Linked DNA regions of Cricetulus griseus. The protein of the gene in region 3 purifies or fractionates together with the protein of the main gene of each other region. This does not show direct contact. Links are inferred from orthologs where the notes say so. Each region holds a gene or a part of one and is shown on either strand. Other genes may lie near its edges. The genes, in order: Aifm1, Cops5 and Txn.

Region 1 (3,650 bases), on a different chromosome or scaffold from region 3:
AGAAACCCAACTAGCCTGGCGGTGGTGGCACACTCAGGAGGCAGAAACAGGAGGATCTCTGTGAGTTTGAGGCCACCCTGGTCTACTGAGGAAGTTCCAGGACAGCCTCCAAAGCTACAGAGAAACCCTGTCTCAAAAACCAAAAGAGAAAAGAAAAAAAGAAACCCAACTAAACAGAAATTCTTGTCCTGACCTTAGTACTTAGCTTTTTGTTCTATACACTTCGTTTTGCAGGGAGGACTGAGATAAGGGAGCACTTTTTGCTTTATAGCCCTAGGCTAGTCTTGAATCTACTGTGCAATCCAGTCTAGAATCTGACTCAAAATTTTCCTGCTACTGCCTTCAGAATGCTGGAATTATAAGCATGTGCCAACAAGCCCAGACTCAGTCCATAAACACTGTTCAAACTCCTTGAATTCCTCCTGGAAAATATATTTCTGGAATTTGTGATAGTGCACCAAGACATGCGATATATGACTAAAGAAAATGGAGGAAAGTTCTCCATACTCACATTTTCTGCCAAGAGCACAGGCCAGTTCACTGCCAAGGAAGCCCCCACCGATAACTGTAATTGACTTGACTTCCCGTGAGATCTTCTCCAAGGCTCTAAAGTCTCCAATCTGCAGGATCATACCAGTTTAATTCACTGATTTCCCAAAGGGGCACAAGAAAATAATCCAAGAAAATATTTTCCTCTAACTCAGCTGCATCAGATATTTGCAAATAGCATCTTGTTCAAAGTGGTCAATTACAGCATCTATATTATTAATGTGAATTTTTTCTCCATTGTAACATTCCTTCCAGCAACAGTGGCTGTCAACACTGGTAGTAGTTTTTCTTCCCAGTCCAAGGTGGCCATGTGGCAGTATCTAGAGACATTTTGGCTGTCAGAACAAGATGCTCCTGGCCTCTAGTGGAAGAGAAGCCAGTGATGCTGCCAACATCTTACAAAGCAAAAGACAGCCTCCCACACAAAGAAATTTCAGCCCAACAATTGAGAATTTAAAAGGCAGTATAAACTTCCTCCAATATCTCGAAGTGTGGCTAGAAAATTCCAGCAAGGCATACTGTTAAGAAGCAAACAATCTCCTTTCCTTTGTACTTAGATACTCTTGACCTTTTGCATCAAAGTCTTCACAAAGCACTCATAATGAAAAATGCCAAGAGACCACAAGGAGTTCTGGTGGATCAAATACTGCAGAAGAGTAGTCAGAGAACTACAGCAAGCAATAAAAACCAAATGTAGTTTTGTCCTACAAGCATAGAACCCTTGAGTGAATGTGAGTGAATGAAGTATTAGAGGTGCAGGGAGAAGTGACTTGCTCAAAGCTAGATAACAAGTCTGGAGAAGAGCTCTATAGAGAACTTAGATCTCCCAATTGGAGGAAGCACTCGGGGAACACAAAAGCGTGTTACCTCTTCAAAACAACACAAAGAAAACACTAAAGCAATTTACCTTTCTGAAAAGTGTTGTTCTGCTCTTCACCTCTGCTCCAGCCCTATCAATGGCAGACAGACTTCTTGGAGTGCCTCCTGGAAATAGGAAAGCCCTTTTAGCCTGACAAGCAGGAGCTAGCCCAAACAACACCTACAGGTAGATCTCTCTTTGCTTTGACTGTGGCTAAGTATACTTGGTGTCACAGCAGCAGCGGTGGTGGTGGTGGCTGTGGCTGCTGCAAACACTACCAAGGAGTGACTAGCAGGTAAGATGGCTTGCCTCACAGCAGGCTTCTTATCAATTTCCTTGAAGAAATACATCTGAGTCTCTTTTCGGAGGACCATGCCTTCTCCATGGCTGGTCAAATCAGAAAGCTCAGTTCCTTTTTCCATGGTGTGTGTCTGTCTGTCTCTGTCAATTTTCTGAGTGGGTCTTACTATGTCCACCAAGTTGGCCCAGAACTCACTATGGATCCCAGGTAGCATCAAGTCTGCTTTGATCCTTCTGCCTCAGACTCCTGAGTGCTAGGATAAGAGCTACTACGCCCACCTGCCACAGTAGCTCCAGAGTCTCAGGAGGCCTCACATGCTAGCACGGTTACACCACTCTCATTAGCTGCTTGTCTTCTCCCCTAATTTTGGATGAGAATTGGCAATAAACCCACAAAGCTACATATCCTTCAGACTAGGTACTGAATACCATGCACAGAGGAAAAAGGAGCAGCTTCCTCAGGTCGTTACCAGAGGATTATTTTTTAATAAAATGTATTATAAAAATTGCAAATAGGTAAAAACATTACACACCCAAATTAACCAGACATCTACACCAGAGACTCTGGGTATCAGTTGTCTTAAGGATAAGCTGCAATATCTTTTCAAGAGAAGGCCAGACTCTAAAGGGAAGACAGCCACCTCCAGAAATACTCACCTGTTGCAATCAAGCATTTTTCAAAAGTTATCTTAGAGCCATCATTAAGTTTCACCATGTTGTCTCTTACATCCAACTGTACTACCTGGTATAGTCACATGCAAACATACAAAAAGTAGAAATGAGTAAGTTACGAAAAACTACTATGATATAATAGTCACCATTTTAAAGTACAAATTCATTGTTTTTTTAAGTTTATTTACCACTATCTAATTCTAGAACATTTCATGCCACAGGGGGTTGGGTGGGGGGGTGGGGGGTGTGGGGCTCTGAACCTATGTTGTCAACTCAATGAGAAGAATTAGTTTTTGACTGAAAAATTATCCTGAAGAAACTGTTTCTAATTAGTTATTAGGACCATAGTTTTTGGGACCCTGTTTCTTTAAGCAACCGAAGCTTGTATCAAGTGGATTCCCAAACAACCATTCTGATTTATAGAAACAGACACTGGAGAAAGTCTTTTCTATTTTGGAATTTGGAGTCATTATTTCTTTGCTAACAACTCTACTATACTCACAACATCTCTGTAGAATCTTTCTCCAACTTCTAGTCTTCACTGAAACTCAGCTATCCCTCAGGGATGTTATACTTAGAGACAGTTAATTTGACCACACCCCATATCACAAGGCCAGGAAGAAGTGTTCCAATCGTCCACGGTTCCTGAGATGGTTGTTTCCGATGTTTCTAGAGTCTTATACCTTCATCCTCCGAGTGATACCTACCTACATCCCTTTACATCACCGTTAATAAACCACTTCCTTATCTCTAAGGACCTTGGATCTTGGTTCCTATTTTCCTCTGGGCCACATTGACACTCTTATTATTTCCTAAACTGCTACTTCTACCTCAGATATCTTACCACAATTTTCTCTCAGGCTCATTGTTTTTTTGTGTGTGTGATAGGAACTTTCTAGGAACAGGCTGGCCTCAAATTCACAGAGATCCACTTGACTCTGCCTCTTGAGCACTGGGATTAAAGAACTCACCACACACACACACACACACAAGCTTAGCGTCAGTGCCTTCTTCCCACTGTTACTTACTCCTCCTTTTCTGTTTTGTTTGTTCAAGTGTGGAGAATGTGAGTAGGGCTGTGGTTATGCTGGACAAGCACTGTACCATGAAACTGCATCTTCAGCCCAGCCTCACTGTACTTCTTCCAATTTTCTGTTTATTCGGTTGGCAATTCCATTCCAAATGATCTGGATCAATAGTAGATCATTCAAATGGCTCTCCTGTCAATACTCTTAATTCCCTTGTCTCTACTTAGAGTTAAGAGCTTGAG
Region 2 (3,650 bases), about 64 Mb from region 3:
AGCAGCAGCAAGGCCACAGTGCCATGCCCAGCACTGAAAACAAATGCAGACACATTCATGAGTTCACACACTGAGACAGCCAAAGCCAATGTGTGGCCACTGCACCTTCTGAAAGAAGGCATGTTTCTTGTTTTGGTTTTTGGTGCCAGGGATGGACCAGAGCCCTATGCCCGACAGGGAAGTGCTGAAGTGCTGAGCCACTGAGCCACTTTCTCCACCAGGATGAGCTGAATGAGGTACTTCTAACTCCAGTGGCAGGATAAACTTCACCTTCCCCTCCCTTCTCCCTACAGAACAGTGCTTTTGTTTGTTTGCTTTATGCTCAAAGACAACTTCATTAGTGTTAAAGAGAAAAACACAGTACAGGTGGAAATCCTGGCAGACACCAGGAGATGGAGGAAGGCTCTGCTTTTCAAGTTTGGCAAGGAGTAGAAACAGCTTATGAAAAAGGAAAAAAAAAAACATCCCAAGAGTGGAAATATGCTATGAACTGAGGGAAGACAGCCCCCGCCCTCCACCAAACAAACCAGCTTATAACTGCCCAAATATTCTCTCTTCTGCCAGTATCAGATTAAAACTTGAGGTTTTGTGGCAGTAAATGTTAGTGTTTTCAACCCGTACATTCTGTCATCAATGGTCACATTCTCATCTAAGTTATCAGAGACCACATCCCAAGGAAATAATTAGCAAGTAAAACATGAGATACTAAAGTGCAGAAAGAACGACTTAAGAGAGAATCTTTTCCACAATATTCTGGAATCTGAAATTTGGCAAATTTAAGAAATGTTAATTCTTCAGAAAATGTTTAGTCGAGGAAAAGGGTAAGCATGCTTTTGGAAGCCCTTCCCCTGAAAAAAGATCTAGTCAGGGGCCAGCTTTCCTTGTACACCATGTGGCTATGGTATTCCTAGATCTTTGAGTTGAGCTTTCTATTTTGCCTTATGTCCCCTAAAATTTGAAAGTGTGATAATACTCAGGCATTTCCCAAGTTGTAGCTGACTGAACCACAGGATCAGGATTTACTTCCTGTAAATTTTGAGAGAAGAGTAGGGCAGGACCTGCACATGAACACTTACCTGTCTCTAGTAGCTTTGGCAAGTTTGTCTTCTGATTTCCGATCGTGTGTTTCTAAACCCAACATGAAACTCCCTCGTCCCAGCTGGGCTTCTGACTGCTCTAACTTTTCAGACAAATCAAACACCTGGCCAGTGGTATAGTCTGCATTCTGTGGAGAAAATGGTGTCATGTCATTTCACAGCATAGGCTCATCATGAAAATATTCTGTTTTTTTTCCAGGGCTAAGCCTGCCTTCAGGGACATGTAGATATAAGCAAGCACTCCACTACAGCATTATACTCTCAAGCCTTTGTATTTGTTTTGAGACAGGGTCTTGTTAGTTGCCCAAGTTGGCCTTACTCTATTGAGGAGCTGGAACTATAGGTATACCACCCATTCTGTCCAGCCCCACACCCCCACTGCCCAAGATTCTACCCACTCCCCCACACACTTGCTTTTATTTTTGAGACAGAGTCTCTCACTACAAAGCGCTGGCTGTCCTGGAACTTACTATGTAAACCAGACTAGCCTTGAACTCACAGAGATCTGCCTGCCTCTGATTCCTAGTGTTGGGAATAAAGGTGTGTACCACCATACCTGGCTAAAAACCCAATTTTTTTTTTCTTTTTGAGACAGGGTTTCTCTGTAGCCCTGGCTGTTCTGGAACTTGCTGTGTAGACCAAGCTGGCCTCTAATTTAGGGATTCCCTCTGCCTCTATCTCCCGGTGCTGGGATCAAAGGCATGCGCCACCATGCCTGACAAAATCCACTAATTTTTATGTAAATTAATTTAACATTCTATATCTAAATAATGTAAAGATGGATAGACAGTGAAGAAGTTAGGTCATAGCTATAAAAACTGCTCCTAAAATCTACCAATTTGATTTTAAAATTTTAGAACCTAATTTCAAGATTAAATGTGTTATTTTTTCCTTTGCTTAAATCAAGTTTTGTCATTATGAAGGCTATGAGGAATGCCTGGACCACGCCTCCTGGAACTCTTAAAAATGGAAGTAGGTGGCAATGATTTCCACCTTAAAACTCTAGGACTGTCCAGGGCACCTAAGAAAGGCTTAATAATTATTAGCTAGTTTTGTGACTGTTCTTATCAGAGTATTGCAATATGTCCTCATTCATACCTACATTTGAGGATCTATTACACATACCATTTCCAAATATGTATGTATTTTACAAATCACCAAATTACACCTCCAGGCTTAATTGTAATATTCTCATTTTATTTGTTTTGAGACAGGGTGTCAAATGACTCAGGCTTGATTACAGGCATATACCACTATGTTAGCAAGGGCTAACTGTAATATTTTTAAAAAGCTGCTATGAGATGTCTTTTTAGTTTTAATCTAAAACTGGCAACTATAAATGTAATCAAGGCAGTCTTGACTATAGTATGAGTTCCAGGCTAGTCAAGGCTATATATAAGGCAAGGCCCTGTATCAGGCTGGTGAGTCAGCTTAGTAGTAAAGGCACTTAATAATTTACACTCATCCCAACTATTCATGTCCTCATATTGCAATGCTGGAATACAGGGAAAGTCAGTCACAGGACTAAGCAGGTATATTCAACTGCCTTTATTGCTATTGTCTTAGAGTTTTCTCTCCCTGCCACCAGGTGTCACTTCTGACTATAAATATATTTGTCTCTAAGGGAACAACATACATAAGACACTTAGCAGTGCTTGGCACACGGGATACATAATATTTTCTAGTATGATTGCTTTCCTCCTTTATTTTTGTTTAAAACAAGATGGCCCCATGTGGCCCAGGCTGGCCTTTAGCTTTCAGCGTGGTGAGGAAGACCTGGAACTCCTGATCCTCTTGACTCAACCTCTCAAATCACAAAGACTGGCATTATAGACACACGCCACTGTGCCCAGCCTGCTCTCTTTTTAATTCTGCTACTTCTAGTAATACAGATCTTGTCAAAATTATATTTAAAATAAATAGGGCCAAGGGAGTCTTTCCAAGAATATAATGCACCAAACAAAACACTAGTAATTATTCATCCAGACTTCATTGTAAGCCAGGCACTTGCTAACTTTGTTATGACTTATGTAAAGTACCTTAGTGTACTTAGTAATACTTACAGTGTCACTGCCAACATTTTACACCAAGGCTCAGACACTAAAACTGGATGTGAAGCACATGCCTATAATCCCAGCACTCAGAGAGGGTGGGGACAGAAAGAAGTTCAAGGTCATCCTTGGCTACACAGCAACTGCAAGGCCAGCCAGGACCACAGGAAACAAAAGCTGCCCTAAGTTTTAAATATGTACCTATTAAATATATATCCATGTAATAAGCACATTAGATTTTAAATGATGTATCAGGACACACTGAGTTAATGCCTTTCTTTGCCTGGTATTTATCATCAAATTGATTTCCACGACCTCCTTCTCCAGCTTAATCCCCATGCTCCTCAAAGAGTTGTTTTCACACCAGCCCAGCAGTTAGCCCTTGCCTTGGCCCAGTCACTCATCAAATTTGTTGCTCTGCCCCATGACATGTCTTATGGATGAATATGTGATCTAAGCAAAGCTGAGCAAACACAGGAAACATGCCTGAGAATATGCAGGG
Region 3 (3,750 bases):
GAATATGAGTTACAGAGATGTGTAAACTTCACAAATAAGATCTCTTCTCCAGATGTGTAAACTTGCCTGAACTGGCTTGAAGAGTATTCAAAATTGTCTAAGAAGCAAATCACAAATTTTAGCTTCAGAAACTAATAATCCATCACAATTAGGAAATGGTTCCATCACTGACACCGATGATCTGAAGAAAACAGTTGGAGTAGTTAGAAGCAGTTGCTTTGATCCCTCTTCTCAAATATTCCTAGCTCAGGGGCTGGCAATGTGACTCAGCAGATTAAGGTGCTTGCCACAAAAAGGAGAACTGAGTTCAATACCCAGGATCCCCAAGACAGAAGTGAACCAACCCTCCCAAGCTGTCCTCTGACCACCACAAGTGAATGCCCCACCCCTATACGTAAACGGAAAAGAAAGCAAAACAAAAGGCCCCAAACACAAAACCAGCCCAAAGGTAGCAATACAAAGTGTTCTTTGCTTTTTGAGACCGGTTTCACTCTGTAGCCCAGGACAGGAAGGTGGTGATCCTCCTGCCTCAGCCTCCTGAGTGCTGAGAGCCATGAGCCAACACCCTGGTCTAACATAGTCTGTAAAGCACTGAGCAGCATGCCTTGTGTGTAGTTCAATAAATAGTTTTAGTCTTAAAAATAAACAAAGCAAACCAACTGTTGATTTTTTAGCCCATCATCCCACTCCTGTCTGGAATCAGGGACCCTTAACTAACCGTACAGTCCATACAGTCCTCAGAAACACATGGTTAAACCAATCAACTTAAGCCCACCAGTATAACCCTAGGTGTATTCAATTAATCTCTGATTCGGGGCGACTCTGATCAGAGCCTTGTTAATAGGCCTTTGGGGCCCAAGGTTTTTATGAATAACTGGTTTCCTGTCCCCAATGCACACCTTTTCTACTGGAATGGCAAAGGTCCCATAAGTAAGACAGTTTAAACAGGTAAGGACCTAACTGGGTGCTGGGTCGAAAACGACTGATAGTGGGTGGATTCTGAGCAAACTCATGTACTGAGACCCACCCAACCAGGCCCGAACAGCTCATAACTGGAGGCGTGGGTCTGCCTTCCTTGGGCTCCCCTAGTTAGCTAGGTTAACAAGTTAACTAGGTTACCTTGTGAGAGTCTTCCAAACATCAATTCCCACCACCGCCCCTTTCACTTTCCACTTTACAAATATTCCCCGAGTAGTTACAGTGTAACAGGCTCTGACTTTCCCAATCTGGAGGATATTTTGGTTCTCAGTAACTTTCAAATATGGCAACAGTTTTTCCCTTAGGTATTTTTTTCTTTTCCCAAATGGCAAAACCTGGACTTTGTAGTGGACTACTCCCTGGGAGGAACAGAGCCCTGGTTCCAGCAAAGCCCACTTACAGCGGGTGAATCACTGAAATCTTAGCGTAGTGAGGCCCCTGGGCCCAGACATTGGGGACTGAGTCATTCCAAAGCTAGCGCTGCCGGAAACACGCCCTGAGCTGCAGGAGGAGGAGGAGTCCCACAGGCGGGGCCTGGACCTTTCTCCTTCCTAGTAGTTACCTGGAGCACCTGCCCGAGGGTCTCCAATAGGTACCGGCCCCCGTGCACCGACCGGGCACTGGTTCTCTAGGCAGTGGACCACTGATGGAGGCAAACTCCGGCCTAGCCCTGAGGCACAGGACACCCCGCGTTGTGTATGACAGTGTACACGCGAGGAGTGGCGGCTCTCATTTCTTCCCTGAGACTCCGAATCCTGGTTCAGACGGGGGTTCACCCAAGGACCCCCTCCATCGTTTCACCTCCGCCAGATTAGAGCTGGCGGTAAGGAGAAGGCTGGAGGCTGCAGGAACCCAGATCGGGGAACCCAGGTGCCGCCAGCGGTGCACCTCCGGTACCCGGCGTTCCAGGGTCTCCCCGTCCCCTCCCCCAGGCGTGCTCTACAAGCCCAGGGCGCGCACAGGCCCCGGGCCGCTCACCACGGGGATACAGAAGGCGACCAACACAGCACACGGCGGGGTGCGCGCGTCGTCCGGGCACGCGTACCTTGCTCTCGATCAGCTTCACCATTTTGGCTGTCGCGGGGAGGAACCACACGAGTTTCTGTAGGATCGGATGGAAGCGGATCCGAGATGCCTGACGGATCTTGCGGCGGATCGAGGCGCCCGCCTTCTCTTTATAGCGACAGGGCGGAGCACGGCGGGGCGGGGCGGGGCGGGCGGGCGCGTGCAGCGGGGACGCGCTCCCTGGCCTCCCGCGCCCGCCAAGCCGCCTCGGCAGGCCACACCTAAGCCACGCCTCCAAGAGGTGGAGCGGAAATCAGGTTTCCAGGGGGCGGAGCCACAGCCGGCTACTAGAGCAGCTCCGGTACTTCCCTAGTGATGGCCCCGCCCATGTCTCCTCCCTCTGCGCGGCGGAAAGCTGGCCTTGGTTTACAGGGGGAGAGGCTAGCGCAGGCGCCTGGAGCAGCTTCGGGCTCCCAGACACCGCCCTGCGCTTACACAGGGAAGTAAGTGTGCGTCCAGTTGCTCTAAGGGCATTTTCGTTGTGCACTACGTAGGGAGGATGCTCATAGTCCCCTCTCACAATCTGGAGTCCTTCTAGGATCACATTGGCCAGGCCCCAAATAGACCTAAGTCAGATACTTCCAGACTGGGCCTGGGGACTGCCCAGGCAGAAGTGTATCCTTCGACCAGGGCGGCCATGCTGCGGTTCCGCCTCAAAGTGCTGAGTAACGATGACTAGGAAGTGTCTCAGTGCACTCCTTCCCCTCCTTTCTGGAGATTTCCCTGTCCCTTCTCTCCCCCCTCCCCTTCCTATTCTTTAACTTTCGCGGGTGAACCTGCTACTGGAGAGGGACAGAGTCCTTTAGTGCCCTTTTTTTGTGCCCCATGCGCATGCGGGCATAATGGACATCGGATTGTCTAGTTCACAGCGTTGTCTCGAAGGATTTAAGGGCTTGAAAACTGACGAGGACAGCGCTGGGCACATAAGGAAGCACTCAATAAATGATTCTAATTATAGTCATCGTGAGCGCTAATTAAGCTTGCGTGGTGCCATGCCGGCCTTGCTGAATTTGGCTGCCTTGTATTTACAATGACAGTGTACATGCATTGCAGAAATTGTTCTGCCTTGGGAGACGCCAGGAAGAGTGTGTGCCAATGATAACTGGGGTGATGTGCAGGAGGAAGCTAAGACATTGTTAGGGTGGCTTTGTGCAGCCCGAAGCTGAGGTGGAGACTGGACAGAGCCAGCAAGCTGGGAGGATGTTTGCCAAGGCTGCCTTTTCAGAGCTGAGCAGATCTAGATAAATATGCATCCAGAGGTGAAGAGCTGGAGATGGTGAAACCGTGTCCCTGTCTCAGTGCCCCTACCACCACCACCACCTTTGTTCAGAACTAGAAGAAAACCAGAACTTTTGAACCAGTTGTGTGAAGTTTTTGGAGGGCTGAGGAATGCAAGTAATGAGTGAGGATGTGGACAAGACGGAACATTCTGAACCCAGCCCTAGACTGAGGGTGGGTGCGGCCCTGAAGGCAGTAGCCTTCCCTCTGAAGACAGCTGAGGCAGAGAGGACCCCTGAGCTGATGAACAGAATCTATAACATGCTTTTCAGCTGTTCTTTTCAGTCCAGCTACACTCCAGCTTCCTGGCTATTTAGTAGTTGGTGAATCTGTCTATCAAGGCCATGAAATCAGTGACCTGTAGGACCTGGTCCCTCCCTTAACTGACACTTCCCCATAGACCCTCAGATGTCCCCTGGCTCCCTGACA

Evidence for each region.
Region 1: the proteins of Txn (region 3) and Aifm1 purify together in Homo sapiens (affinity purification with mass spectrometry; 3 studies listed by BioGRID and IntAct, with this or other methods). This does not show direct contact. The link is inferred for Cricetulus griseus from reciprocal best matches to the Homo sapiens genes TXN and AIFM1.
Region 2: the proteins of Txn (region 3) and Cops5 purify together in Homo sapiens (affinity purification with western blotting; 3 studies listed by BioGRID and IntAct, with this or other methods). This does not show direct contact. The link is inferred for Cricetulus griseus from reciprocal best matches to the Homo sapiens genes TXN and COPS5.

Annotation. Positions count from the first base shown.
Region 1 is NC_048604.1:20,981,709-20,985,358, reverse strand, and holds part of Aifm1 (apoptosis-inducing factor 1, mitochondrial), read right to left. Parts: intron 2,451-3,650; coding exon 2,366-2,450; intron 1,534-2,365; coding exon 1,457-1,533; intron 621-1,456; coding exon 512-620; intron 1-511. UniProt on the Homo sapiens protein: Functions both as NADH oxidoreductase and as regulator of apoptosis.
Region 2 is NC_048595.1:150,156,408-150,160,057, reverse strand, and holds part of Cops5 (COP9 signalosome complex subunit 5), read right to left. Parts: intron 1,226-3,650; coding exon 1,077-1,225; intron 1-1,076. UniProt on the Homo sapiens protein: Probable protease subunit of the COP9 signalosome complex (CSN), a complex involved in various cellular and developmental processes.
Region 3 is NC_048595.1:85,908,187-85,911,936, reverse strand, and holds the start of Txn (thioredoxin), read right to left. Parts: upstream 2,181-3,750; 5' UTR 2,048-2,180; coding exon 2,024-2,047; intron 1-2,023. UniProt on the Homo sapiens protein: Participates in various redox reactions through the reversible oxidation of its active center dithiol to a disulfide and catalyzes dithiol-disulfide exchange reactions.